Linked DNA regions of Alligator mississippiensis. The protein of the gene in region 3 binds, or shares a complex with, the protein of the main gene of each other region. Links are inferred from orthologs where the notes say so. Each region holds a gene or a part of one and is shown on either strand. Other genes may lie near its edges.

Evidence for each region.
Region 1: MYBL1 (region 3) and E2F4 share a complex: the UniProt entries of both Homo sapiens proteins name them as parts of the DREAM complex. The link is inferred for Alligator mississippiensis from reciprocal best matches to the Homo sapiens genes MYBL1 and E2F4.
Region 2: MYBL1 (region 3) and LIN54 share a complex: the UniProt entries of both Homo sapiens proteins name them as parts of the DREAM complex. The link is inferred for Alligator mississippiensis from reciprocal best matches to the Homo sapiens genes MYBL1 and LIN54.
Region 4: MYBL1 (region 3) and LIN9 share a complex: the UniProt entries of both Homo sapiens proteins name them as parts of the DREAM complex. The link is inferred for Alligator mississippiensis from reciprocal best matches to the Homo sapiens genes MYBL1 and LIN9.

Annotation. Positions count from the first base shown.
Region 1 is NC_081833.1:31,514,724-31,522,002, forward strand, and holds the start of E2F4 (transcription factor E2F4), read left to right. Parts: upstream 1-4,010; coding exon 4,011-4,139; intron 4,140-6,855; coding exon 6,856-6,965; intron 6,966-7,279. UniProt on the Homo sapiens protein: Transcription activator that binds DNA cooperatively with DP proteins through the E2 recognition site, 5'-TTTC[CG]CGC-3' found in the promoter region of a number of genes whose products are involved in cell cycle regulation or in DNA replication.
Region 2 is NC_081825.1:146,548,976-146,556,835, reverse strand, and holds the start of LIN54 (protein lin-54 homolog), read left to right. Parts: upstream 1-4,620; 5' UTR 4,621-5,349; intron 5,350-7,860. Other genes in the region: COPS4 (COP9 signalosome complex subunit 4), read right to left, coding at 3,972-4,063. UniProt on the Homo sapiens protein: Component of the DREAM complex, a multiprotein complex that can both act as a transcription activator or repressor depending on the context. In G0 phase, the complex binds to more than 800 promoters and is required for repression of E2F target genes.
Region 3 is NC_081826.1:64,075,087-64,082,722, forward strand, and holds the start of MYBL1 (myb-related protein A), read left to right. Parts: upstream 1-4,273; 5' UTR 4,274-4,549; coding exon 4,550-4,569; intron 4,570-7,636. UniProt on the Homo sapiens protein: Transcription factor that specifically recognizes the sequence 5'-YAAC[GT]G-3'.
Region 4 is NC_081824.1:179,696,791-179,704,378, forward strand, and holds the start of LIN9 (protein lin-9 homolog), read left to right. Parts: upstream 1-4,183; 5' UTR 4,184-4,211; coding exon 4,212-4,290; intron 4,291-7,588. UniProt on the Homo sapiens protein: Acts as a tumor suppressor. Inhibits DNA synthesis. Its ability to inhibit oncogenic transformation is mediated through its association with RB1. Plays a role in the expression of genes required for the G1/S transition.

The DNA.
Region 1 (7,279 bases), on a different chromosome or scaffold from region 3:
TGCTTAACTTTGGCCTTTGTCTTTTTCTATGCCTTCCTTCCACTCAGCTCAGGGTTGAACTCCACCCCAAGGATCTTGACCCCCTCATGAGGGACAGAGACCCCCAGGGACATTAGGTCCCCAAGCTCTCCCACACCCAGACAGATGCTTTTACTTACATTGACCTTGGTCCCTGCTACCACTTCATAAACCTGTGCGCGCCACAGGGCTCTTTCTACTGACCACTTATTGTGGCACAGGATGTTCAGGTCATCCGTGTACACCAGGATCCTGGTCTCTTCTTTGCTGCTGCTTGGGATCTGGACTCCACGTATCCCAGGGTCCTGCCTAATGCGCTGGGCCGGGGGTTCAATCGGGCTGGGTGCACATTACAATGTTGCAGAGATTTTTCTCTCTCTCCTGAAGTGCACACTTTTGCCAGCAACTCTCTTTCATTCTTATACAATTTAACTGTATAGCTTCAAAGCATTCCTTCTTGATAGTTAGTAAATTAAAGTTCAAACAAAGCAGGTAGGGAGGGACCACATTACAATTACTAACTGCTCAGATCCTGTTTTGGGTCGTCTAGTTGTGAAACTTATTTTTCCAAACTTTTGATCAGTCCAGAGGTTACACTTCAATCAAATAGGATGGGTCTTGATTGACTGAACAAGATACCTTGTAGAACTGATCACAGAACAGTGTTTTGGGTAGTTATTTTAACAATAGGGCAGAACCCAAAATAGTCTAAGTTGGTGATGGTTTATGGAGACATTTGCAAAACTCCAAACAAACACTGAATAACTGTTCTGACAAATATGCCTTAATCCAGGGAGAATGTGTCAGCAAGGAGGATATAGTCACATAGGAATATACAGTTATTTATGAGTGGTTTAGCATAATAAAACATTGGGTACATTTGCAACTAGCACAAGAAATTAAATCAAATGGGATTGCTTTATTTTGCATGGTCCCAGTCACAATCTTGCATTCTTGTGCAAGATGCACTGTTGTTTTAATTTGGTCATTTAAATGTCATTTGTAGGTCTGGACAAGCTTTCACAGTTTTCACTTGGCATCAAAGCTTGTTTATCATACTTTAAGGTGCAATTTTATTTGAAACATATAAACCCAATCAGATCTAGGAGTTGTTAGACCAGAAAGGACCACTAGAACCATCTTGTTTGATCTCCTGTATAACAAAAGGTAAAGGTTTTTTGTTCTGTAATTCGTGTACCTAGCCTGCAAATCTATGGCTGAAACACGTCCCTTATAAAGACAATGAATGTCCATTTAATGAAGTTTTTAAGTCATATACAACCTAGCACATTCCTGGCAAAGAGTTCTAATCTATTAAAATAATTATGTGTTATTAATCATTCATACTATTAAAATGCATACAGTATTTTTACTCTGAATTCATTTGGCTTCACTACAAGTCACTGGATTTCATTTTACCTTTGTTAGCTAGGTTAAGGAGCTCTCTGCTACCAGAAAGCCTTTCTTCATGTAGGTACTTATAGATCAAGCTGCCTCTTCATCATCTTTCTTTGGCAAGTAAATACACTGAGTTTTCTAAGTTCTAGTACTCAACAATCATTGTTGTGGCTCACTTGAACCCTATTTTTAACTAGAGTTAATCCCACCTCCTTCCTTCAGCTTATACATCTAAGAATTGCGTTAGCCCATTTGCCCAGAGCATCATGGCCAATTGAAAAAGAGTTAATGCAAAAAAGTGTGTGGGTCCCTCCTGCCCCCATCTCATTGCCTTTTTTTGCAAATCAGTATTAAGGATCAGATGACAGCATGTTGCAAATGTAGATGCATTACAAAGCTACTCAATCTCCAACCCATGGGCCAAATATAGCCTGCAAGCCATCATATCTTGCCCCCAGGAGTCCCAATGGGGTGGGAAATTTGGTGCCAGGAAAGCAGTGGTCATTAACATGGTCACCCTCCCCATACCAAATTCCTAAACCCCAAGTCCTACACTGCTGGTTGCTGCTGGGCCATGCCTCCTTCCCCACATCTGGATCAGGACTGGACCATGCTCTCTCTCCTCCCCATCCAAACCAGTTTAGGGGTGGGCCACTACCCTTCCACCCCACTCCCCTCATGGGGCCAAGCCATACCTCTTTCCCCTTCAGGGCCAGGTTGTGGCTGCATTGCCCCCCCCCGCCAACTCCCCTCCGCGTGGCTGGATGGTGCCCACTGCACCCACCCACCCTGGTGCCAGATCAGGACCACTGGCGGGATCCAGCCTGCAGGTGGACAGGACGCTGCCCATCCGACTAACAGGGGGAAAAGGTTGAGCACCACTGGTATAGCCTATACTAGTTCCTTGAGTGAAATCCATACCAGCAAAAGCACTTGTATGCTAATACACCTGCATCTACACTAAAGCTTTTGCTGGCATTGAAAAGTCATAAAAATCCCATTCTGACAGCTCTATATCAGCAGATTTCTTTGTGCTGACCTTTGTGGCCTCTCCTCATCAGTATTAACCACTGCACGCTCCTCCATGTCACCTACAAGCTTCAATACTCCATGATTACAGACTTTCTTCTAAATCATTACTGAAAATACTGATTACTGGTAGACTAAAGCCAGATCACCCATTCCCCTTTAACTAGGGTAGCCATTCATCCGGTTTTATAGAGGACAGTCTGGTTTTCTGCTACTCTGTTCTCTGTCCTCTAGTGATATGAAACCAGATGCCTTGATGTCCTCTATTTTTCTCTGGAGACACTCAACCTTTCAACCCACAATTGAACTTAAGATGGCTTGTCTTCATTCGTCAATATGTTTGACATTTAATCAATCCCGTGTTTGTATCGGACCTGAGAATGCCAACAAAGATCCTATTTGTCATGCTTCCTAATGACGTCCTTACGTTACAGCTGTTGCTTCCTGCCGTTAAATGTTTGTCTTCAAAATCAGTTTGACATCACCCTTAATTCAAAATGTCCAAGACGACCTTCAATTCAGAATGGTCAAAAGAATGTGATTTCATAGCGAAAAGCAGAAAGGGTGAACATCACACATCCTGTACCCTGTGATATCGATGTCAGCAGCCCAGGAAACGGAGCTGTATATCATCACATTGTGTCAAAAAAACACAAACTGAACACTCGAACATTTAACTTTTTGGTAGCTTCTATAGATGTGGTTATTATGAATTAGCACTAAATTTAGTTTTAAAAAAATCCCTATGCACTAAATGAAACTGTCCTCTATTCTTGAGGTCCCTTGATGGCCACCCCACAGTTCATTTCTGAGGCCTATCAGTGAGCCAGTTTCTAGTCTGTTTACTGGGCGATGCATTGGTTTTGTGCTGTACTGTTATATAAATCAGAATGTAGCTCTTGGAAATTGTACCTTTCCCATGAATTTGTGAGAGATGCTTCATGTAACACATACAGAAAAGGAAAAAATATGCAAAATTTCCAAAAGAAAACTAAAGCTCAGATTTTATGTTTGTAGCTGTTGTATATTTAGGGCTTGTGCCAAAGGACATAAGCCAACCCACCACGATGTTGATCCAGACCCACCTGCCTCCTGGCTGCATTTTTCATGGGGACAAAGCGCTGGGGTGCCATTCGCCCCCAAGCTACCGGGACGGGACGGGACGGGCCGGTCTCAGAAAGGACGACTGTGACTCAAGACGAGGCTGCGCCCTCCCCTGCCCTGCCGCTCCGCGCACTGCCAAGTGCCGCCGGCGCCCCCGAGGCCGGCAGTTGCCACGAGCCGAGGCGGCGAGCGCGCACCGCACAGGCCGGCCGCCGCCGCCGCCAGCCACGACCCTCCCGCCAGGCGCGCAGCCGCGTGGCACCAGCGAGGCAGTGCTGGGCCTGCCCTGGGCGCGCGGAGACACGTCTGCACAACACGGGGGGGGGGAGCGCCCACCTGCCCGGGAGGCCCCCGAGGCGCGGGGCTGGGCCCGGCCCCCGGCCCCGCTCCCCCCGGCCGGCGTTTCCCGTCGTGCCCGGCGGCCGGAAGCGGAAGCGGCGCGGGGCCGCCGGGCCGGGGAGATGGCGGAGGCCGGGCCGCAGCCCCCGGGGGGCGCCCCGAGCCGGCACGAGAAGAGCCTGGGGCTGCTCACCACCAAGTTCGTGTCGCTGCTGCAGGAGGCCAAGGACGGCGTGCTCGACCTCAAGCTGGTGCGGGGCCGGGCCGGGCCGGGCCGGGCCGGGCCGGGCCGGCTGGCGGGGGTGTCCCGGGGCCGCTCAGTGCCAGCGCCCGCGCGGCGCCTGGCGACGGGGCCGGGCCGGGGGCGGGGGCGGGGGCAGCGGCCGCGCAGGGGAGCCGCGGCCGGGCTGGGGGACGGCGGCAGCCTCGGCTCGTGCTGCAGCGCCCGCTGCGTTTCCTCCGCGCTGGCCCCGCCCAGTCTCGCTCCACTTCACACCTGCGGGGCGGCCCCTGGGCCAGCGCCAGGCACAGGAGCTGGTGGGCTCTCTCTGCCGTCGTCTGCTGGCCTGTAAGGTGCACGTCTGCCTCGCTGAGGTCTGCCATCTTTGCCTTTGGCAGCTACTTCATTGAGCTGCTGCAGGGAGGGAGGGAGGTGGGGGGCTGCGGATAGCTGCCTGTCTTCCCTCTCCCAGAGCATAGGTGTGAGGCCCTGTACCCAGCACAGTGGCCACGGGTAAGTGCATCCAGCTGCCTGGTTACGTCGCTGTTCAGAGAGCTAATGCAGAGCGCTCAGTCTTGAGAACTGCTTCTCCTGCTGGCGCTTCTTGTCTGGGCAGCGGCACTGTGGGCACTGGGGTGAGTCTTGCCGGTATCTTATTGTGCTGCAGTCGGTGCTGTAAGTAGCAGGTGTGATCTCTGCCATCTGGGAGGCTTGGCAGCTTCTTAAGATCCCATGAAGGAGTGTCTGAAATGGAAAGTGCATCTGGAAAAGCTGCAGTTGGCTTGCTGTATTCAGAGAAAAGTAATTTATTTCGGGTCTGAGAGTGGCTACAGATGCAGCAGAACTCCTGAGTTTAGGACAGACCTCAGTCAGAGAGGGCAGGTATCATCTCTGCTGTGTTGACTGCTTCCTCCAACCCTGCATCACTATCTCAGTCAGTGTTGGTTCATGTTCAGTCATCTTGGTTTCCTTCAAGCTGTAGTCTTGGCGAGAGAGCATGAAAGCTGAGTGCCTTGAACACAGATAATACCGTGAATCAGATGTAGTTGTATTCTATATCACTTTCATACCACAGCCCAAATCCTGGTTGTCTTCCCCTAGTGATCTCTTGCACACAGAAGAAATGAAAATAGAGTGATGTAATATATTGTTCAGAGCCCTTGAGAGAAAAGTATTGTTCTTTATTGTTTTCTGGTCCTCGGAGCTAAAACAGCCATTCAGACGGGGCCAAACCTATCACTTCCATAAACTATAGGCAAATCATTTTCACCTTGTGCTCTGTGGCATTTGTGGTGGCTCAGGGAGAAGAGAATTGGCCTAGGTGTTGACTGGAGATCATTGTTTTTTAAAGAAAGCAGCGTGGACTCTGTACTATAGCCAATGTTTAAACCCAAGCCTTGTCCACACTTGAAAATGTGTTTACACGTGTATTTTATGCTCATGTTGTGTGTGTGGATCTGTATTCCTGCTGGTGATCCATTTCATATAGATCCAGTCAGATACAAGAGGCATTATAGAAATACAGGAGTGGAAAGGACCCATAGAATCCACTTCTTGCTATTGCATACAAAGCAAAGTCATTTGGATTTTGTCAAAAAAAGGTATGCTTGCTTTGTCTAAAAAATGGCTTGCAAATGGGACTCTTGTTTGTCAGCATTACTTGAACTAATGATTGGCACTGCCATGGAGAGCTGACTCGACATGAAAACTCTTCAGTGACCTGTGCATGTATAGTATCACCTAGAGTGTTGGTGCCAGTTTTGTTGTTGCAAATCTGTAACTTCTGTGCTAGTGTGACACCAATTTCAGTCCCATTTTTGCAGGATTATTTTGGATGGGAACTGGAGCAAATTGATGGGCATCCAGAGGTTTGTTGAGAGAATGGAAGAGAATATGTGTTTTGTGTGTGAGCAGACCTTATTAACAAATCAGTTCTGCTAATTAGAGTTTTGTGAGGAGACTGGGTCCTAGGTTTGAGGGGTGAGACACTGCCTCAGAAGTGTGCTAAACAAATCTGGAGACATCAAGTACTACATGAGTCCCCTCCTCACAACCTTCCTTTTCCTCAAAAAAAAAAAAAAAGTGAGGCATGGTGGCTGAAATTTTGAGGGCCAAGGGATGGCGTTTTGTAATATTGGTTGAGCAACCTTCATTTAAGAGATACTAGTAACTTATATGAAGGAGAGGTATTGGCACTTTATACCAAGACTTGTGACATTTAGATAGAAAAGACCTGTTGGAATATCCAGACCTGTTCCTGACAGTGCAGGATTAGTGTCAGTGTTTTCTTCCTCCAGCTTTTTCACCTCCCTGTTTCCTCCTCTTAACCTCAAGGTTTTGCCATTCCAGTAGAGTGTACATTAAATTGGAAGGTCACCTCACAAAGTTCCTGTAGAATTGAGCATTTAATCCTACTCTCTCTTAGTATGACTCTGCTGTCAGGAGGTTGTCCAGTCTGCATCAGAACCAGATGAGATTGGGGAGATGGTTAGGATTTAGTTTGTGATTAATAGGGGATTTGGGTTGAAGACTGAATTGCAGGGAAGATATAATTAGCAGTCAGAGAGTAGATCAGTGACTGGTTTCATGTCCCTTGACACACAATCTAATTTGCAACTTGAGGTGGGAGACAGATGCCACCAGAATCATAGAGCCTGATCTGTACTGGTATGATGTCCAGGCCTGGCGAAAGGATGGAGCATAAGAAGGAGTCTGGAACCGATTGTCCATCTTTGATTTTTCCACAGGCAGCAGATACCTTGGCAGTGCGGCAGAAACGGCGAATCTATGACATCACCAACGTACTGGAGGGCATTGGGCTCATTGAGAAGAAATCCAAGAACAGTATCCAGTGGAAGTGAGTGGTAGAAATGCTTTGGCAGTGTTAGAAAATTATGGAAGGAAAAAGCCTCACCCTGAGTGAGTTTCTCTCAGGGCCTATCTGCATGTACTCTCATCGCCCCTCCTCCCCTAACTGTTCCCACTGTTGAAGCTCCACCTATGGTTATTATAGTGACAGTGTTACTTTGGATAGGGCCGCAAGCACCTGGTATTCTAACTGTCGTGTCACATGGACCTTATAGATTCATAGATGTTAGGGTCGGAAGGGACCTCAATAGACCATCGAGTCCGAACCCCTGCATAGGCAGGAAAGAGTGCTGGGTCTAGATG
Region 2 (7,860 bases), on a different chromosome or scaffold from region 3:
TGGGGACTTAGACATGGTAATTTTTTTATTGTTATCATCATCATCTCTGGTGAAGCGGGGCCCAATACTAAAAGTTTGCCTGGGGCTGCCAGGTGTCTAGATACGGTGCTGGTCCCAAGCTTTGCTACGAAGATACATGCAAGTGAGATATGAAGGCATTTGGAATTGATCCTGACCAGTAGGAAACCTTGGCAAGTGATGGGAACAAGTGGCATCGTTGTCTCCACCAGGGCATCAAAGTCCACAACAGAAATTGGCTCCAACAACTTGAAGAGAAAAGAGCCAGTAGGAAGCAAGCAGCTCCCGAACCACCCAACCATAACATATACATTTGTAACTGCTGCCACAGATCACACAAATCTCAGATTGGACTGTTCAGTCACGTGAGACACTGCAAACCAGCTACATCATAGGCTGCAATATCCACTGTCTGCCATAGACAAAAGGATGCCAAAGATGTAACCTGTGGAAAATAATAAAAATGACAGCAATAACAACAACAGTGTTTGCAGGCCAACATGTTCTAATATGGGTGCTTGAAGCCAGGTATTAAATTATAAATGATTTGCCTTCTGGAAATGCTGAACACCCACTTCAAATATTCCAATAGGTATAAACATTTGCATTAAAGTGTGTTCACATGCAGCTGGTTTTCTTCTGGGATAATAAAACTAGGAGGTTTCATTTATTTTCCTGCACAAATAGAAAACCCTCTTTTTGCAACACTTGACTTGCAAATGCTTCAAAGAAAGATTTTAATCCAGTATGCTTAGAGACACTTTGCTTAAATTATTTTAGTTAGTATTCCATTAAAAAAATAAAGCCGTCTTACTTTTGCAGGATAGGACACTCAGGTCATGCCAAGCTTTGATTGCTTTTGCAACCTTAGACATTTACTTCTATTTCAAAAGAGTTATAAAGTTTTGTAGTGTGTTGTCATGGTGGGGTCCTGCAGGAGGGACCTCGAGGAGATCACGGCCCTCGCTCCATGTCAAGGCCGGCCCAAGGCACCCTCTAATTCTCGCCTGCCACGTCTTTGATGTTTGTATATAGTTGGGAGGCTGCCTATGACTCCCTGGGCACAGCTACTCGGGACCTCTGTCCTTGTGTGTTCCTGGACCCCCCCTGGGGGTCTCCCGGTGTAATGGGTGCTCCCCAGGCACCCTAGCCTTATGGGCTACGCGTGGCTCCTACCACCCCTAATACCAACGCCTCAAGCCTCGCTGATGGGAAAGACGTTGTCCGGTCGCAATACACGCCTGCTTCCTCGGGTCCTCTCCTGTAATCTAGCCCACTCTTGGGCCTTCTCCATGTGTTTCTCTACTAGTGCCCCTTCCTGGGCTCTCTCTAATACAGTGCCCCTCACTGGGACTCTTGAGACCCACTCTGGGCCTTCTCTAAAAGTGTGGTCCTGCTCAGGGACCCTCTAGCGGGTCTCCGGTCCTTTAGGCCAACCGCACAGCTACCCTCTCTGATCCCGGCTCACCGCACTGCTATCCCCTTTCTCCGGGAACCACCGCAGCACCTTGCCTTTCTCTTGGGGCATCGTACTACTAACCCCCTTCTGTCGGGGTCCATCGCAGCACCCTGCCCCTGTCTGAGGGCTGTTGCCGCACTAGCCTACGGCCGTGCTCACTACGCCTGTCTTGGGCCCCTCAATAATACCGCCCCCTCTCCGGGGCTCGCTGTGCCCCTCTGGGCTCCTCACTAATACCGCCCCCTGTTTGGGGCTCTCTACACCCAGCCTGGGCTCTTAAAAATGCCCCTCCCTGGGGCTGGGGTCTATGCACCCCGCAAGTGACGCCCTTGCTGGCGTCTGCTGTGCCCGTCCTGGGCTTCCTAATATGGCACTCCCCCTCTTCAGGGCTCGCCATGCCCACCTTGGGCTTCTCAATAGTCCCCCCCTTTCTCGGGGACTCGCTGGGCCCACGCTGGGCTCCTCTAGAGTGCGCTCCCCCTTTCTGGGGCTCGCCACATCTACGCTAGGGCTTCCTAGCAGTGCCCCCTTCTGGGGCTCGTCATGCCCACACTGGGGCCTCTCAAAGCTGCCCCTCTCCGGGGCTGGGGTCTACGTACCCCGCACACAACCCAGGGTCTCTGTTCCCCACCTGCAACCCACTAGTTGCGCTCCTTGCCGCCAGTTGCGCCTTCACTGGCGCTGGGGTCCCCATACCACTGGGGTTCCCCCTTAAAGTACTGTGCCCTCACTCAGGCACTGGGGCCCCCACACTCCCATGGGGCCCTTTATGAGGACACTGTGCCCTCCTCAGGTGCTGGGGTCCCCACACTCTCTGGGGTCCCTATGAGGATAATGCACCCTCTTGGCCCTAGACTGCGCCCTAACTGGCGCTGGGGCACCCCACCCCTATGAGGCCTCCTCCAACCCTTACAGCCTCACCCAAACCTCCGGTTTAATATCAAAGCCGAACATAAACTCGAGCCTCCTGGCTATAACTCAAACATAAAGCCTCCTGGCTAAACCATGGTGCTCAAACCTCTCAGAGCTGCCATCCTTCTCTCAGCTAGAGCAGTTCCTACATTGCTCAGCTCCTAGCTCCAGGAGCTTCTGCCCCTCTGACTGCTAGCAGGGAACTGCCAGCCTGGCCTTAGCCCTGGGGTTTATAAGGGCCAGGCCCTGCCTCCTACAGGCAGCTGGCTCCCCTTAGTTGCCCCGGTAACCCGCAGCTGGCTCTTTAGGTCCTGCCAGGGTTCTCTCTCTCTCCCTGGCAGTTTCTCCTCTTTAGGAGCAGGAGCACCGAGGTGCCCTGCGACATGTGTCAAAAATAATTACTGCATTTCACGGTGGATAGGCCAACACACTGTAGGTTGACGCAAGGCTTTCCGATCTGAAAGGTAAGGATTTTCATAGGCACAGTGTATGAATTGGGGCTAGGCTTATCGCTCTACTGGCACAGCCCCATCCCCTGTGGTGCAGCCCATGGTGTCACTTGAGCCTGGCAATGCTCACAGGACAGGGGCTGGCCTGGGCTCACCACTCAGCTGGCACTGCCTCATCCCCTGTGAGTGGGGAGCCCAGCCACAGGGGATGGCCACCACAGCCAAGCGCAGCCCTGTCCCTGTCCTCATCCCCTGCAAACAGCACTGGGCTCATGGGATGGGGCTGCACCAGCCAAGCACCAAGCCTGGCCCTGTCTGCTGCAAGTGGCACTGCTGAATGCCAAGCCTGGCATATATCTCTAAATACATAAAAGATGCAATCTAAACACACAAATCCACATATGCACACAAATCCACACGCACATGCATGAATCATGATAGATAGATGCACATATAAATGCATATATATGTATAAATGTATATAGGATTTACATGCTGTCCTTCCCAACAGACTTTATCTTGCTATAGACTACTCTGAGCCTGTCTGTAAATAAGGGTGTAGGTTGTAGCTGTTGGTCTAAGGACATACCCAAAGAATTTTGTCTGCCTAAATCCCATGTATCTTATATTAGACCAACTCAAATAATTGGAAAAATTCTGCTTAACAAGCTTTCAGGCACAAACACCTTTTGTCAGGCTGAGGAAGTGCCTGCAGATGGTCTGTGCTCTTCCTGGATGGAGTGGTAAAGCAGCCATAGGCCACTCCATCCAGGAAGAACAGACTATCTGCAGATGCTTTGTCAGCCTGATGAAGGGTGTTTGTGCCTGAGTGCTAAGAAGAATTTGTCCAACTATTTGAGTTGGTCTAATAAAAGATACGGGATTTATCCAAAGAATCTTGTCTGCCTAGGCCTGTAGATACGGATTTCCATGCTCCCTTTGTCAGTGAACGCCATACCCGCGGGTACTCAAACATTACAGGGATGCTTATCTTCCGGACTAGCCCCCAGGGCATCATTTGCTGACACCACCGGCTACCTGACCAGGAGGGGGCCCACAGCACAAGACGCACCAAGGATCAAGCAAGCCACAGGAGAGGAGAGCGAGTACGTGCTTGCGTGAGAGAAACGCACCCACCGCCCTGAACCCACTGCCCGGTCGGGGGGGGGGGGGAATCGTCCCAGGACCGCGCCGGGCGCATGCGCAACCGCCTCCGCGCCCCCATCTCCGCGCGTAGCCTTGGCCTTTAGTCCGGAGCCGCCGGGCGCTATCAGGTCACGTGCCAGCGTGATGCCGTCATGAGCCCGGAAGCGGCCGGAGGTATTGGAAGCAAGAGCAGCAGTAGCAGCCACCGCCGGAAGGAAGCGTCCAGGCTTAAGGGAAGTGGGAGTGGGAGGGGGCAGGGGCTGCGCGTGCGCGCTGGTTGGGTGACGCGGGGCCGGTTGCCAGGGCGGCGCGGCTCAGTATTATGGGATGTGGCGGTGGAATGGCGCGGGGCGCGTGATTTTGAACAAACGCGGAGCCGGTCCCTGGTGCTGCCGCCGCACGGGGCAGGGGGGGCGCGGCGCGGCGCGGGCCGGGGGCGGGGCGGCCGCGCCCGCCTGGTGAGTGACAGCGCGGGAGGACCGTGGGGGACGCGCAGCGCGGGGGGGAGGGAGAACTCGGCCTACGTGCGCCGCCGACGCAGCCGCTTCCCGCCCGGCATTGGGCTGCAGGGGCCGGCCCGGGTCCTCCCTGCCCTGGGTCGAGCCCAGCTGCGGCTCCTGGAGGCGAGGCGGCTGCTGTCGGCCTCTCCGCGCCGCTCGTCCGCGGGCAGCGGCGTCGGGTCCCGCGCGCTGCACCGCTGTCACGTCCGTGCGGAGCTGGGGGGCGCTGCGGGCTGCTCTGGCTCCGTCGCTGCCGGGAGGTTGCTCTGGGCTCCCGCCAGGGCCGGTGCGAAGGGCGAGGAGAAGCCGCCCCGGCTCCGCCGTGCCGGGACACCCCCCGGCGGCTTCTCTCTTGCGCTCTCCGGACAGCGGGCGGTTGTGGGGACACTCACTCACTCACTCGCCCCAATTCTCTCCCTGCGACCCTCATCAAGGTCATGGGGGGGCGCGCGGGGGCTGTTGTGCCGCCGCCCGCTGTGGCGGGCTCCCTCTCCCCGCCCCCAGGCCCGGGGCGGGGCGGTGGCGGCGGTGACGAGGTGAAAATGGCGGATCTTTCGAAATCCAGTCCCGGGCCCTGACGGAGCAGCCGCTGCCCGGGACCCCTCACTGCAACCGAGAGTAACGGGCAGGAGGAGCCTGCGCCGGGCTGGGCCGTGGAACCGGGGTGCTAGCGGCCCAGGCTGGGCCACTACTTGTGTTGGGCCCAGTGCCTTGTACCCGTCGCCGCCTCTGGGGCAGGGGGCCTCTGCTTTGCCTCGGTGCAGGGTGGTTGCTGGCAGTGCCCTGCTCCCATTGAGCATTGGGTCTTTCAAGCCCTGTTCCGACTTGCCCCATCCCCTCCTGCTGCTCGTTGTCCTGCTGGCAGGTGAGTAAAGCTAAGCAGCGGCTTGTGTTGAAGCCTGCTGGATGGGTTGGTATTTTTATCAGAGGGCAGTCTTTTTTCTCTTCTTCTTGCCTTTGGAGGCTGGCTGTAGCTCTGCAGGGGTAACAGGCTTCAGAAGGAGAAGGAGGTAAAGTGAGTTTGCCATAGTGAGTAGGGGGCCCAGCTACATATACTGAATTACCCCCCCAAAAAAAACCCTGATGGGGATTGGGTGTATGGCTCCTCTTGAGTAGGAAGTATGGTGCTGGCAGGGACTGGCTATATTGCTTCCCTTGTGTAGGGAGCTGAGTGTATGCTGTTAATCCACAGCATCACAGGTGGCATTCTTGGGTTTTGTGCACATGGCACCTAGCCAGGTTTCAACTCTGTTTCCAGCGTGTGGCAAAGACTCGGCAGTGCTAAGCACCCATAATTCCCCATTGCCCAGCACTTTGCAGGATCAGGCTCCAAATTATAGCCCTAACAAAACAGGATAGCATGATTATAATGTACTTTGGTCTCATTGTATCTGTGCGTTACTCTGTGCTTCTGAAATGCGTTGGGTGTTATAATACACTTCTACTATACAGTAAAAGTGAGAGCTCATGTTGGCTCCGAGACCAAACTGTCAGATATTTATGTGACTTTCTGGAAAATATCTTTTGAATGAAAGCCTTTTACATGTCATTTTTTAAGGAAATTTTCCTTATAATGTCTAAAATGTCATACTTGGCATGGACTTTGCCCTTGGTGAAAGCAAGTTTTTTGTGTGTGTGTGTTTATTTTCAAACTGAATCCTTTCAATCTGGAATCCTTTGATACATGTGGATTTCTGACTGTTTGTTTTTCTTTCAAAGGTGGAACTCTTCCTTGAGCCTGCATATCTCTGCATGTGAAATAATACCTTTTTGTTTTGGGGCATCAGGAATGATGCAGTTTCATGAGGAATTGCACTTATAGGCCACGTGAAACAGCTGCTAGACAGTAGTCTGAACAGGAGGAAAACACTGAAATGCATGCTGCTTTCTCTTGTCATCTTACACATTGAGGGTTAAAACTTTCTGTCCAGGCTCAAGTAGTATTAGAGATGTTAAGTCTGTTGGTCTCTGTGATGTTCATAAGTACTGTTTAGGATACAATGAACTATTTGAGAGTTCAAATTCCTGCTGAACATGATACAGGAACTAGCAACAAGTGACTCTTATTAGGTAAATTGCTTAACATTACCAGAATGTGTTTACATGCTATAGTGATGAATGCATTCTATGAACCCATTAAGAATGGAATGGAACTGGGCGTTCAAGAATGGTGGGATGTTTGTTTGAATAATACATTAATTTTTTTAGGCTTTAATACTTTGCTCCATCAAAGTTATGTTTGACTACGTATATTACAGATGTCAGTATTTCCCCCCTCTATTTTCGATTCTTGCATTATAACAAATTTCAGTAACTTCCTCTCAACCCTTAAACATGTTTGTCGTACCAGCTTAGACTGATCAAAATTTTTCCTTATTAGTGGTTAATATCTGTTGCAGTTGAAATGGTGCTTGAAAATTCTACCAATCTTATTAGCCCAAGGGTAGACATGAAAGCTGGGAAAGAGAGAAACTCTTGGATTTGTACCTGGAGGATGTCCCTGGTTTCTGACAACAGACTCAGTCTTTTGCTCCAGTTCTTGGATTAGAATGTGACTTGCACTGTTTATGAAAGAGCTTCATCAAGCTATTTAATCTTTATCTGTTGAAGGATCATCTCAGAGTTAAATTCAGATCTCTTTGTAGCCCTTAACTCCTGGTTTTGTTTCAGGTGTGTGTGACTTTAGGGTGGTCACTTAACCTTTCCCTGCTGGAGTTAATGCATTTATTAGCTCTTCCCAAATATTAATACATTATACTGACAGGAACCATGTAAATATCTACAGAGAAGAACTTCTGGGGGTTGTTTTAATTTGTTTCAGCAGCCCATGAGAAACAGGAGAAGAGAATCTCTATTCTATTTCATTCCTACCCTTTGTTTTCTGGGAGGTCCTCATCTGAATAACTCAGTCTGTCTCAGCTGCTGTTGGTAGTTCTGCTCAGCAGCTGTGTGGAATTGATGGGATTCACTGCTGTCTACAGGGTTCTGAATACATCTTCAACATCCCCAAATATAAATCCTAGTCATTGGGCTATCAACTGTTCTGGCATGGCATTTCTAGTTCTGTTCTGAACCTGAAAGAACTTTCTGCTAAACTCCTTGTAAAAACTAATGCTACTGCCAAAAAGTTTTTGTTTCTTTTAATCGGTGCCTCCCTTCCTGTGAAAAAACTGTTTTGTTGGAAAATTTGTACTTGGCTCCAGAACAGTGATTCTCAACATTTTTTTTTTTTTAATGTTAAACTTGAGGCATCCCTTGATAACACTTGTGAATTGTGACACCCCATTTAAAAACCTAATTGGTTTATTACAGTGCTTACCTCCTTGCAAGAGATTTTAGGTAAATGGAATGCAGGGGTTCAATCTGCCTGTCCTTA
Region 3 (7,636 bases):
CTAACCTGACCTTTGCAGGTCTGAGGTGGTCAATACAACATTCAGTGCTTGCCTGTCAAGGAGTTATGTTGTATTGACCACCAAAAACAAATAGAACAAACAAAACCTGAGGTCCCAGTACAGAGAAACTGAGAAGAGCTATGCACATACTTAGTTCTATACACACAGTAGGATTATGATTCTTTAAATGCACCCTGCCTGCGCATTTATTTTTGCAGGATCTGAGCCTACACTTTTGGGCAATGCCTTCCTTGGCAACGTGTAGGGCAGGGGTGCACAAAATGCAGCCCAGGGGCTGGATGCGGCCCGCCAGGCCATCTATCTGGCCTGTGGGGCCCCGAAAAAATTCAGAAAATTAATATTTATCAGCCCCTGGCTGCCTATCATGCAGCCCTCGATGGCTTGCCAAAACTCAGTAAGCGGTCCTCTGCCCAAAATAATTGCCCGCCCTGGTGTAGGGGGTGCACATGAGTGCACCTGCACTCCCTGAGATTGGTGATGCACCCGCTGAGACTGACTGCTGGCGGTGCCTGCAGGCAGTGGCCTCTCACTGCCCCCCCCAACACTGCCGGCGGTGTCTGCGGGTGGTCGCTGATTGCCATTGAGTGCCACCAATGCTGCTGGCACTATCTGCGGGTGGTCACCGATCGCTGGTTGGCGCTTGCTACCCGCTCTTTGCCACCAACACTGGCGTAGCTGCCTGCAGGAGCTCCCCACTCGCCACTGTCACACCTCTGACACCACTGCCACTGCCTGTGGGCGGTCTCCGTTCATGAATGTCTTGTTTTACTTTCCTGGGATCCTGCCTTTTCCTTTATTCCCATCTGTCTAAAGGAACTACGAAGTCCAGGAAAGAGTCTTAAAGCCTCTTTAAATGCTTCACTCAGGGTGTGAGGAGTCATCATCCGCCAGAGATCCACAACCTAGAATCCTCTGCTATTTTCTTTTTCAAGGAGCTGAGCAGAGCTTACTGTTTTACAAAGTGGCCAGAAGAGGGAGATGGTGTCCTTTCTGTTTTTATTCAGTGACAGTGGTTAGAGTCACCCAAGGAGTGAGAGATTTCTGTTCAAAATGAACTTGCTGTTCAGGAGAGAGCAGAACATCAGGCTGCCAAGTATTCTGAATGCTGGCACACCCCCACCTCCTGTTGAACTATTTTCTGCGGAGTGGTGTAGCTTCAAAATTCAATGGATTAAAAAGAGAGGGCATTACTGAGGAATGTGACAGTAGACCAGGGCCCTCACCTTGCAGCTACCCCCATGCCCAGAACCATTTATCTAATGACTGGTGTAGTGACAAATACAAAATAGTTTTGGGAGTAGGCACCATAATTCAGGACTCTCCCTTTCCAGCTAAGTGCCATACGGAACCATCCCTAGAGGGGGTGAATCGGAGCAAATGCTCCAAGCCCCGCACTTTGGAGGGCCCTATGAAGCCGGGTGGAGTGGTCAAGGTGATTCCGTGCTACTGCTGGCTTCATGTTTGGCAGCTTGCCACCCCCCGCCCCTGCCAAATCTGCTGCCGGCTTCCTTGCATTTGGGGGCCAGGCCCCACACCCTGCTCGGATTGTCTCTGGTGCCATAACTACAAGGCTCACAATGTCATGCTTCCTCTTCTCTTTCTTACTTAATCTTGAATTCTTTTCTGCACAGTGGGGCACAGCTTCAAGAAAAGGAGTGAAAAGTCTTCCTACCCTAGAATTGCCTTCAGTTTTTAGTTGGAGCACTTTCCAGGGAGAGATGTGTTATGGATCTTCCTCAGGTAGAGAAGAAATTAATTGCATTTTCCCTCAGCCTACTTAACTGATCAGATCAGTAGGTTATAGCATACAAGGTGGTGGTGGTGGGGGGGCACTATTAACACCTCTTTTAGATATGTGTGAAAGGAAATGGTGGCAGCTAATGTGTCCTGTGAAGTGATGGATTCACTCAAGTGTGTCAGGTGTGCTTTGAGAATACCTGCAGGACTGAGCCTTGGGGCATTTAGACCAAAGAATGCCTAGTCAGATCTTGATCAGGTTGAGCTGGGTGCTTAGCTGCTCAGCCCTTGCAAAACTGAGGTGCTTAGGAAGAACTTGCAGGTGCCAGGAGACTTTAAGATAACAAACTGCAGTGTCTATGGAGTTCGTAGGCCTTCAGGGTTAGATGGCAGCTGTGTGGGGCTTCTCGCAGCTTCGGACGTAAGTGCACAAATTCCACTTCAGCCTTCTAGTATCCTGTGAGCTAAAGGTTTTCCTAACGTGTAAAGTGTTTATGGTAGGTGCCAGCAGTTTAACATGATTAAAAAAGCCTGACAGGTGTGATTAGACTAGTGGTTTTCAACCTTTATTCTTTTGCAGATCCCTAAAAAAATTTGAATGGAGGTATGGACCCCTTTGAATTGTAAGTCTGGGTATTCACATACTTTTGATTCATCATAGTCATCTTTCATGGAGCCCTTAGACATAGTCTCTAGACCCCCAGGGATCTGCAGACCACAGGTTGAAAACCACTGGATTAGACAAAGGCAGGCAAGGCTCTTTGAATAGATGTGATAGATTTTATTAGAACAATGGAGTAGTTGGAAAAAAATTCTTGGCAAGCTTTCGGGTGTAATTGCCCTTCTTCAGGCATAAGGAGTCTCTCCTGTTCTGATAGTCCAAGGAATGAAAGAAGCTAAAAAAAGTATGGTAGGATGTCAGTGAGAATGGAAATAGTTAGAAATTGGGTAAAGCAGGGAAGGGAAGGGGGAAAAAAGGTGAGTAGGGGACTCACTACAGAGGTAGTAATTCATCTGGAATGCATCTATTATAATCAACACTGTTTCATTTCTCATTTTAGACCACAGAAAATATCAGTTCAATTCTGTTTTGCTAGCTAGTCTTTTACTTGGTAGTGCCCACTCTGGGTTGCAAGTACAGGAGGGAGGAATGTGGCCTGTTTCCACTGAGATCTATGGCAAGCAAAAACCGACCTTTGGATCAGGCAGGGGCCTGCCCAGGCTTCTCCTAGTTGCGGGGATTTGTGGTTTGGGGTGACTGGAAAGGATTTTGCCCCATAATCCCAGCCTAATCTCATCTTCCTGTTCAGGACAATATACTTGATGCATAATATTATTTTACATTTTTATTAGTAAATATACTGTTTTTGTTGACATTCTTTTTTGCACGTGTAATTCAGTGCCAGATTATGTCATGCTAAAGCCCTAAACTATGTCCAGTTTAAGAGGCCCAATATGATAAAAATAAACCAATGTATATTTTTTCATATTAGAACAAGAATGTCTATATTTAGACAGTCATTTTCTCATATCTCCTTTATCTAAATTATAATAATCTAAAAGATTATTATAAAACTTGATATTGAGTCAGGGTTTTTTACTCTTATTTAGAAGCCCCTCCTGTTGTGAAGCCCTAAACTGTAGTTTAAGCCTAAATTCAGCACTGGTTTAATTCATTGCTAAAAACCTTGAATTGTGTCAAGATTAGCTTTGAATGAAAAGCCAGGAGAAGGAACCAACTTCAAGACAAAAATGCAGGTGAGCTCCAGAGAAGTGGGAGCCTGTCCCTGCACTGCACCATCCCCAGGTTCTGATCACGGGCCTTTATTGAATTGCCCTGTCACTCGTGGCAGCTGTGTGAGGACTAGACCGGGCAGCTCCCTTTGCCATCGGAGCAATAGTCACACACACCTGTGGCTGCTTGCCTGCTCCCCCCCCCCCCCCCCTTGCCCAGAGTGGGTGGCAGGCAGCCCCAGCCCAGCAGCAGATGCACAAAGAAGGGCCAGGCAATCTAGCAGGCCTGTCCCTTCGATAGCTCAGCTGGTAGAGCGGAGGACTGTAGAGGTACAGCCTAGACCCACAGGGATCCTTAGGTCGCTGGTTCGATTCCGGCTCGGAGGAGACATGGTTTTGTGCCGGACGCATGGTTTTGTGCCGGGCACATTTTACAGCGACGGGACCTCACCAGTAACCGCCTCAGCCCCACGAGGCGGGAAGGTGGGTGGAAACCAAGCGCAGTGGGCCACGCACTGGGCTCTGCGCATGCTCAGTGGCACCAGCCGCGGCCGCCGCTCTTTTCCAGCCCAGCCCTGTCAGCGCGAAATCTCGCTCCCCGTCATGTCACGCCCCGCCCCCACGCGCCTGCCCGCGCGGCCACTCTGGCGCCAGCCCGTCCGCTGCTGGCCCCGCCCCGCCTGAGCGCGCGCCTCGCCCCGCCCCTATCGCGTGCGGAGCCGGCAGCCAATGGGCGTGCAGTCCGCGTGCGCAGATTCAAACGGCAGCTCGGGAGCGAGGCTGGGCGCGAGATTCGGCGGCGCGGACCAGCCCAGCGGGCGGCGGCGCGGCGAGGCCGAGGAGGCGGCGGGAGCCGGGCACGGCGCGGTACCTGCGGGGGCCGGGCGAGCCATGTCCCGGGCGACGGGGGCCGGGCCGGGCCGGGGCTAGGAGCGGCCCCGCAGCCGCCAGGAGGGCGGGAGCGGCAGCGGCAGCCGACCCCGCCACAGGTGCTGCTGCCGGTGGCGCGGCCTCCCCGCGGCCCCCGCCCGCCGGCTCCCTATGGTGCGCCTCAAGGATGGCTAAGAGACCGCGCAGGTGAGTGGCCGCTGCCCCGCCCCCGTCACCTGTCACCGCCCGTGGGGCACCCCCTGCACGGAGGTGGCGCCTGGTGTCCTGCCGTCTGCCCCGTGGGCAGCGTGGTGCGCCCCGGGGTCGCCGCCCGGCCCTGCCCTGCCCGCAGCCTTTCTTCCATGCCCTTCTGCTCCTTCCTCTTCCAAGTCCGTCCCTGGCGGGAGGCAGCGGTTCACTCTGGCTGGATAACCTGGAGGTCGATGATGCTCTGTGTGAAGGCCCCTGGCTGTCCACCCGGGTGCCGCGGGTGGGGTGCTTTCAGGTCCTTTCAAGGCTGCAGGCCATGCAGTGTGAACCACGGATAGAGTAAAGCATGTGCAGCCTCCTAAAATTGAGGCGGGCAGCATCTGATGAAGTGAACAAAAGCCAGCTCCTGCTCCTTCACCTGCATCTTGGATGTGGATAAATATGGCATTAAGTTTGACTGGTGTTATATAATAAATAAATACGGTATTAAGTTTCACTGAAGTGAACTTGGGCTTGCAAAAGCTTGCGCTGTCATGTACCATGCATGCGCACGTGTATGCACATGTCCCACATCATCTGTCATCTCTGTTGGTCTCATGTGGACCTTCTCCATCCCCTCTCCTTTTACCTGTGGCCCATTCACTGGACAAACATGTATGTCTTAGATTTGGGTAAATATGGTATTAATTTTCACTGAAGTGAACTTGGGTTTACACAGTCTTGTGCGTGCTTGTGTGCGCTCTCACCCACACATCTTGTATTTGGGCAAATGTGGTAATAACTGAATTTTCACTCTCTCTTCATCTCCAAAAGTGGACTTCTTTTAAACACGTTGTATGTTAAAATGTATTTGAATGTATAATATGAGAGAGTGCACACACGACCTTTCTTGACCCTCAGACAATGTCAGCTCTTAGTTTTCAGTCAATGTTTGATTATAGCAAGGTAACAGATCAAGTTCTTCCGTTGCAAAGAACTCGAAAAAGACCAGAAGAGGTCAGAGAGTTTTTAACGCTGAGGATTCCTGTTTGAAAACTCTGGATCTACGTTGTGAATCAGATGTGTACACCTGACATTCTGTGGTGTTTGTGCTGTGTCCTGACTGAGAATCACTAGTGCATAGTGATGCACCTTCGCTGAAGGAGGTGACATGAATTTCTTGTTCCAGTTGGGGTTTATTAAATTTAGTGCAATTAAGCTGTTTTTGATTTTTTTTCAAATAATTTCAGTCCTTTTCAAAAGCCTTTTCATTTTTTATATAGCTTTCAGCTGCCTAGAAGGGATGCCAAAGAATAAAGCCTTAAATCTTTTTTTTTTTTTTAAATCTTATGGCTACTAAACTTAGTTTAAAAAAAAACAAACTTGCTCTCTTACTCTTGCAGATAAAGCTGTCTAATTTCAAACTGTTTCACTTTGTTAAAAATGTCTGTGATCATAGTTCACTTGAACATGAACTGAGATGGTATGGGTAATTGAAAACCATCTATCTGTATTAGATTTTTGTTTTAAAAAAATCCCTCATTTACTTATGTAAATTGCATATTTTTGGACTCAATATATTGCTGTTCCTTTCCAGTTAGTCAAGTCTAACAGTACAATTTATGTTTTTTGAGACTGACTGACATAAGGACTGTATATAGAAATGCATAAAATTTGGTCACGTGTGTGTGTGTGTGTGTGTGTATATGTGTATATATATAATATGACGCTGTTCTCTGTGAAATGTAAACACTAGATTGGTCTTGGTAAACTACATGCATCTTTATAGAACTCTCAGGTGTGAAGTTGGTAGCAGCCATTATCAGTAGGGCCATGGTGACAGGCATACTGTAGAAATTACTCCTTTCAATAACTTCTGTAGTGTCATTCATTTCTGGAATCTAGATATTAATTAAAAAAAAAAAAAAGGCTTTTAGCATATGTATATAGAAAGACTTATAAGTATTAACTAGATGTGAATGATCTAGTATTATATTCCTGAATCTGCACATAGCTAGCATTTGTGTTCAATAAATACAAGCTACTTCATGCATTTCAAAAATACTCATTCTGAAACCTAACTATGATTGCTTATTCATAAGTATGGTTCTTCTCAGTGCTAGATTTTTCTCCAGGTTATTGCATAATCATTGTTGTTTTTGACAGTTTACCTTGCGCCAAGTTCCAGCTGACTCCTGTCTACTTCCCAACGCATCCAGTTTTTTTCATAAACTATATTATAGTATTATTATGTCTTTAAAAAGAGCAGATATGTGGCCTACTGAAGATGTAGGCCAGTGAAAAAATACTGAGTTTAATATTAAAATAACAATTTGATCAATTGCATTTATTTTCATATTTCATTCAAGAAGAAATCTGTTTTAAGACAATCCAAAGATGCTTAAGAACTTCCTTTCACTGTACTAGACAGTAAGTGACATGTGGTGTTGCTACATAATTTTGGTCAGGCTTCCCACAGAGTACACAGTGTCTTGGCTGTAATTCAGATGCAGATAAGCTTTAGTCTTGTTGCCTTTCTAAATAAATGTTAATCTCACGTTAAATAACTTGACCCATAAAAGCCATTCAAATGTGTAAAGTATTTAAAGGAAGGCCACTTTTTTAGATGATTGAGAATGAGCGAAATTAAATTAATACCATATATTTACCCAAATCTTACTCCCCAGTAATTATAATGCATAGAAATTCTATACATGGAAAAATTATAAATTTGTTACAATATTCCATGTGTCCAATTCAATTACTGAAGGATTGTCTTAAATTTATCCCCACCACTATTGCAGTGGGAAGAGCAGTTAAGAAAAGCATTGAGGCAACAGGAGGCAGTTGAGGGAGGGGGAGATGGTGCTGTGCGGGAGCAAGCAGCTTGTTGCCTGCTGCCTTTGCCCCCCTGCCTATCCCCCTAAGGCTCTGCTTCCCCATATCCCTTCCCCCCTGTTCTGTGTCTTTTGTTACTTAATTCACGCGCAGTGACTTGTTCTCTGTGGCCTGCTATTAGAAACTGCTTCAGGTTCAGTGGGACTTAGGTTTTTAAGCTGACTAGATGCTTTTTAATGTTTTGCAA
Region 4 (7,588 bases), on a different chromosome or scaffold from region 3:
TTGGAAGCTGCTCCAAAACCTCTCTACTCTTAGGAACCTTCTAATTTCAGCCTAGGTTTATTCATTGCCAATTTATACTCACTTGTTTGTGTTCCAAGTTTTTCTGCCTTTGTTCTGCTAGACAAACAAATTGAGCTCTCTTAGTCTCCTCTAATATGCTCTCCCTTGTCTTTATCATCCTAATAGCACTTCTCTGCATCTGTTCTAGTTTGAATTCATCGTTCTTGAACATGGGTAATCAGAACTGTGTAGAATATTCCAGACAAAATCTTCCTAGTTTCTTTTACAATAACCCTAATGCTTCCTTACCTCTACTGGAAATAACTTTACCGATCCATTCTAGGATTGCATTTGCCTTATAGTTGCATCAGATTGGCAGGTCATAATATTTTTGTGACAAACTAATACACCCAAGTTGTCCTCATCAGTTGTTCCCAAGTGATAGGATCCTAGCTTCCAGCTGAACTTTGTTATTAGTTCCCAAGTACGTGACCTTGCATTTTGTACTACTGAATTGTATTTCATTTCTGTTACTCCAATTCTCAAGGTTATCCAGTTCTTCCTGTAAGATATTCTAGTCCTCTTCTGGACCTGAGTTTCCCAGGGCTCAGTCCTCAGGCCTGTGCTATTCAACATCTTTATCAGTGACTTGGAGGTGTACACGGAAAGCACACTGTCCAAATTCATTGATGACACAAAGATGTGGGGAGAAGTGGGCACACTGGAGGGGAGGAACAGAATCCAGCTAGATCTAGACAGGTTGCAGAGGTGGGCGGATGAGAATAGGATGGAATTCAACGCAGACAAGTTCAGGATGCTGCATCTAGGAAGAAGGAACCAGAAACACACCTGTAGGCTGGGGAACACCCCTCTTGTCAACACAGAGGCTGAAAGGGAACTTGGAGTCATTGTTGACTCCAGGATGGACATCAGCCACCAGTGCAATGAAGCGATCAGTAAGGCTAACTGCACCTTGTCGTGCATCTGCAGGTGCATCACAAGCAGGTCCAGGGAGGTGATCCTCCCTCTCTATGTGGCGTTGGTCAGGCCGCAGTTGGAGTACTGTGTCCAGTTCTGGGTGCTGCACTTCAAGAAGGATGTGGCTAGTATTGAGAGGGTCCAGAGGAAGGACACTTGCATGGTCGCGTGGGGGGGTGGGGGCAGCAGGCCAGGCCCTACGAAGATAGACTAAAGGGCCTGAATCTATTCAGCCTCCACAAGAGGAGACTGAGATGGGATCTGGTGGCTATCCATAACTCACCAGAGAGGACCAGCAGAAAATAGGTGAGGCTCTGTTCCCCAGGGCACCACCTGGGTTAACAAGGAATAATGGCCACAAATTGATTGGGAGCAGGTTCAGGCTTGATATCAGGAGGCATTACTTTACGGTTAGAGCTGCCAGGCTCTGGAATGGGCTCCCAAGGGAGGTGGTGCTCTTCCCTACCTTGGGGGTCTTCAAGAGGAGGTTGGATAGATGTCTCACTGGGGTATTATGATCCCAGCACTCGTTCCTGCCCAGGGCAGGGAGTCGGACTTGATGATCTGTTCAGGTCCCTTCTGACCCTAGAAACTATGAAACTATGAAACCTACACTTTGGAGTCACCACACTTTTACTTAAATATCTGGATCATTAATTAAAATACAAACAAGATTAGTCCCAAAATTGATCCTTTAGAAACTCCATTGGTAAACTCCTTTCAGCCTGATATTTTCCTTCTTAGGGTTACCCAGTGTTTTCTTTATCTAGGTCCTTGCTGACCTCATAATTTTTCTCCTAATCCTTATTTTCTCCTGCTTCGCTAATAATTTTTCATGCAGTACTGTAGCATTTACTGAAGCACAGATAAAATGAGATCAAATATATTTAATCTGTCTAGAAAATCAGTTATCAAAAAAAGCTGTCAGGTTACTTTGACATAACCTATTTTTGGCAATCCCATGTTGAATTTTACCCTATTTTCCATTCCCATCCACTTTGGTTGCTCTTTCTCTTAAAATTTGTTTTAAAACTAATAGGAGAGTAGTTGCCCAAATTAAAATTTCCTTTCAACTATAGGTACCATATTTGCTGTTTTCTAATCAAATGGTACCAGACCCAACTTAGTAGACGTATTCAAAAATTTTCTACTGGACCTATTATTTAATGGGCTAGTTCTTTCAGAATTCTGGGAATTACCAGGTCTTCTCAGCTTGAATGCATTAAACCAGGGATCAGCAACATTTTGAGTAAAAAAACCCCACAACCTTGTCTTGGAAGATGTTGGCATGCCAGGGGCAGACATCAGGGAACTGCGAGGGGCCTGATCCTTGTTGTGGCCATGGAGCCCTTGCCTTGGGCCCCTTCCACACCATCTGCCCCAAGGCATGTGTGCACCTGCCTCCAGCAGTGATCCAGGCTGGGGCTCCGCAGAGCCTAATGCAGCCACTTGCAGCCTCCTGGCTGCTTACCACAGCCAGCCTGCGCTCTGCAGGCCCCTGCCACCAACCATGGAGTTTGGGCTGCTTGCAGCAGGTGGTAGGGAGACTGCAAGCACCTGCACTGGGATCCACAGAGCCCTGGCCCAGCTTGTTGGTGGCAGTGGGTGCATGTGCACTTTGAGACGGACAGGGGGGAAGGGGCCCGGGGTTCCCTGCTACAAGGATCAGGCCCCTTGCGGCTCCCCGCTGTCGGCCCCGAGGCACACGTGCCAAGTAAAATGCCTTCGAGTGCCACATTCTACCATGTGTACCAGGGGTTGCCTACCCCTGCATTATACTCTGACTTTTGCTCCCATCTAATTTGAGGTTATTTGCATTTTGATGCCCTCGTTCTTATCTATCTTGCCTTTGCCACAAGGTCATCCTTATCGAAGGAACATCTAACTTTGTTTTGGCCTTTGATTCACGCACACAGCATCCTCAATTTCTGTGTATCCTCATGACCTAGCGGCTCCCTCTAAACTTTCCTTTTTCTCTTTTATGTCATTGAAGAATGTTTTGCTCTTTGTTATATTTGACTCCGGTCAATCTAATTCTGCTTGACTTGGGCGATTCTCACTTTAACCCTGTGCTTCTTGGTCTCCTAGCTTCTCTTCTTCCAGCACTTGTAAGCTTGTCATTTAGTTAGGGCTGAAGTCCCTTCCTACAAGGCCTTTCTGCCACCCTGCGGCTTTGGGAACACAGACCCCTGCCAGTTTTACCATCTCGGACTGAAATAATTTCCAGGCTTCCTTTCCACTCAAGCCATTGAGATCCTCAGTGCAACTGACTTGGCTGACTGGTTCCCTTCGTTTATTAGAGGGAAAGGCTTGTGAAATGGAAAATCTTTATGACAGATGTACTGGAGCTTTATTCTTTCATCACCACTCTTTACTTTTTATTATTATTTAGTATTATTACTATTAATAGTTGTTATTCTCATTGTTACCAATCTCATCCTAGTAATAATAATCCTTATTTGTTATGTACTGTTAGTGTGTGAATTTGGGTCTTGTGGGCGTGTGTAGGAGTGGGGGTCTCAGGTGCGTGTGAGTGAGGGTCTCATGGGGGTGTGTTTGTGTGTAGGGAGCGGGGTCTTGTGGGTGTATGTGTGGAGGGAGCGGGGGTCTCATGGGTGTTTGTGTGAGTGGGGGGTCTTGTGGGTGCATACCTGTATAGAAGTGGGGGTCTTGTGGGTGTGTGTGTAACAGCAAGGGTCCTATGGGTAAGTGGGGGGTCTCAGATGTGTGTATAGGAGTGGGTGTGCAAGGAAGTGGGGGTCTGAGGTGTGTGTAGGAATAGGGGTCTCATGGGTGTGCACATGTAGGTAGTGGAGGGTCTCATGGGGTGTGTATGTAGGAGTGGGGGGGGTCCTATGGGTTAAGCATGTATGGAGTGGGGGTCCCGTGTGTGTGTGTGTGAGTGGGGGTCCCATAGGTGTTTTTCTAAGAGTGGGGGCCTCAGGTATGTGTGTAGGAGTAGGGGGCTCGTGGGTGGGGGGGGGGTGTCGTGTGTGTAGGAGTGGAGGTCTCGTGGATGTGCGCCCGTGTGGAGCGGACCGGGGCTGGCTCCCGGGCCCGAACGGTACACTCCGCTCCCTCAGCGCGCGCTGGACAGACGGGAAGCACAGGGGAGCCGAAGACCACTGCCCGGGGGCCCGGCCCCGCCCCGCGCGCTCGTCCCGCGCGCCGCCGCCGCCGCCCCAGTCAGCTCAGCGCCGCGCGCAGGCCCCGCCTACCGCCGCCGCCCCACAATGCCCCGCGCCAGGCAGCCTTTGAAAAAGCGGCGCGGCTCGTTCAAGATGGCGGAGCTCGATCAGCTGCCGGACGAGAGTGAGTGCCTGCCTGGGCCCCTCGCCGCCGGCCCTGCCTGCTCCCCTCCGCTCCGGCCTGTCCCCTTCCCCTTCCCCTTCCCCTCTCCTCTGGCCGGGGCTGCCCCTGCCCCTGCCCCTGTCCTGGCCCCTGCCCGCGGCATGGGGGGGGCCGGGACCCGCTGCCCTGCGGGGCCCTGACAGCGCCCGGCGCGGCGGGGGACCAGGACCGCAGATGCCCCCGCCGGGCAGGGGTGAGGCAGCGGGGGCTGGGGCTGCTGTGAGCGGGGCTGGACGCGGCCTCCTCCCCCCCCGTGCTACGTTCCTGTGCCCATCCCTGCCCTGTCTGCACCCAGGGCTGTGGCACCCCTGGGTGCCCAGGGGTCCTTTCCCCGGTGCTGTGGGGTGCCCTGCTGTGCTCGTTTTGTTTGGGGGGTGATTTGGGGACAAATCCAGAGGTTCACATTAAGGATGTGGGGTGTCCCTACCTGCGCAGGCTCCACTGACTCTTTGCCACAGTCGGGTGATGCTGGTGTTTGTCTGCCCTCAGGGGGAGGGGAAGATTGTAAGATAAGCTGGCATTTTGCAAAGGGGGATCTTGAGCCTCAGAAGAAAAAAGTTAAGACCCTCTTTCCCCTACCCTCTAGTCTGTATAGACATTTTGCTGTACAGGTGACCAGGTGTAGAAATTGGTGCGGGCACCACATGCTGACCGGACACCACTTTTGGTGCAGCCTGAGCAAACAAAAATAGACTGAAAGGCAGGTCGGCATCTCCAGGTGGGCAGTGCTGTGTGTGGATGCCGCCACCAAAAAAGAAGCAGGACTGGAAGGAAAATGACTTCGTTGATTGAGAAATGACACAAAGTGGTGTTACACCTCAAAAATGTAGCCGATGTGGTGGAGGAGCGTAAGGTTGGAGTGAGCAGCACATAAAGGACATCAGGAATGTTGCATAAGGATTGTGATGGAAACTTCTCTTCGTCACAAGCAAAAGGCCTGAAGGGAAATAGTGTAATGTCATCGGAAGAAGACCCCAGCAGACTTTCCGCCTATGTCAGATGGGGCTGGACTCGATCTCATGAGGTCCCTTCCAGCCCCTCATCTATGAAGCACCTGGGGAACCAATCCGTACATTAAGACCAGTGCAGAGCAGTGCAAGGAGGACACAGTGCCCATAATTGCTTGAACTGCTTTGGCAGATGGGTGGCTCTAAATAAATGGTAACCAGGCAGGAAAGAGAGGCCCGACTTTCTTTTTTTACAAACCAATGAAAACAACTACTTAATATTGGTTTGTTTGGGTTTTTTTGTTTGATTTTTGTTTTGTTTTTTTTCAAATCACTTCTAGGCATTATGATGCACAAACATTTATATTGGCTTTTAAAGTTTCAGAAATGAACTAGACAAATTCATGGATTACAGATCCATTAATATCTTAAACAGAAGAGCTGGGGATGTATCCTCTGGCACCTCTAACCCAATGATGGTGGATGCCAGAGCAGGCATGATAGAGAGATCATGATAGATATACACTGTTCATATGTCCTCCCTCTAAAGCGGGGCTGTCCAGCTTATTGGCTGGGGGCCACGCTGCATACCATAAGGGCCATGGCCTCCCCTAACTTCCCTAGCTACAAACTCCCTTGGCACCATTATGACAGACAGCTTCCTGCCTGTTGCACTCTATAAGTGGACAGATATTCTCTTGTCCCCAGCTGCTATTGCTTGCACAAGCAGGTGGGTGGCCCCCTGCCCCTAATGTCTTTGGCTGTATGCTCCCCTGTTGTGCATGTTCCCTCAGCATTGAAGGCATGCTGTCAGCCAGATGCTCTGAGTCATGCTGTCCTGCACCCTGGGGCAGCAGGAGGAAGTGAAGGCCAGAGAAGAAGGAGGAATCTGGAGACCCTGGCCGCAGTAGCATCCAGAACAGTTAACTGGACAGGGGGAGCCTAGGGGCTGCAATTTACCCTCCCACAGGTCGCAGGCCACCAGTTGGACAGTCCTGCTCTAAAGCATTTGCTGCTCCTGGTGCTGTCACAGACAGGTCTATTTGTTATGCCCAGAGAAACATTAGCCTGGGCCCACCAAGGGAACTCAAAGCCTCCATTAATCAGGGAGGCCAGTAGAGGCAAAGCAACTGATAACTTAGGACAACTAAAGTGGAACATGGACTAGAGTATGAGTCACAGGTTTATAGTGTGTATTCCAAGGGGAGAACACTGATCAGAGTACAGCAGCCAGCGCTTGCCGGTCCTCAAACAAGTCCAAGGAGCTAGTGAATGCCATCCAGTGAAACTTGGACCATGGCACAGGTGCTCAGGTGGGCTGGACTGGTCTGACCCAGTATGGCACCGAGTTTCTATGGCACTTAGAATCTGTGATTCACATGATTTTTCAAGGGGGGCATGGTGCAACCCCTTGCTGAAGAACTGTCATGACCCCAAGGCTGAGAATAATACCATATATAAATAATTCAATTATAAACTTCCACGGTAATGCTGTCACTGTTGTACGAGGTTCAAATTCTTGTTGCTTTTATTTGAAAAAATACCAAGGAAGTAAAAATATCTAGAGGGGCAATAAAAGTAATTAGATGCATGGAAAAATTAATATGAGGAGAAATCTTAAACAATTAGAATTGTTCAGCTAACAGAGATGAAACCTACACTAGGACATGATAGAGGTATATATGAACAAAGGGGTAGGGTAGAGAAGGTCAGCCCTATTTCTAAAGGGAGCCAGTCAAAGTAGAGGATACCATACTCAGACAGAAGATGCAGCATCTGCAGATATGCATCCCATACATGGGCACATTCCTGTATATGTGCAAGTTCCCACATAGATGCACCCAACACGTTCATCTTCATGCATTCACAGAATATAGAGCCAACACCTGAAAGAGGCTCTTTCCCAGTACATCAATATTCACCAAACATGCCTGTATGCTTAATATGCACCTGTGAGTTGCATACATTCTCTTGCGGATGTCCACACAGACTACGTACACACACGCACTAACTTTCAGTCGTCAGAAACAAGCTTTTGGTTTAATTTGTGCAAAGATGTGCATACAAGCCAATTGTCACATGATGAATGTTTCCACATGTGTAGTAGAATATAAACATTACATTTGTACCCACCCCTTCTTGGACATTCAGCCATACATAGATACGAACACAGAAAGTATTCTGTAATCCAGTGTTCCCTAACCAGCGTATCTTGATCCACTGGTAGATCTCGGGGCCTCTTTGAGTTGATCTAAGGCTGGGTTGGGGGCCTGCATGCATGAACGCATATGCCCCAGCCCAGCAGGCCAGTC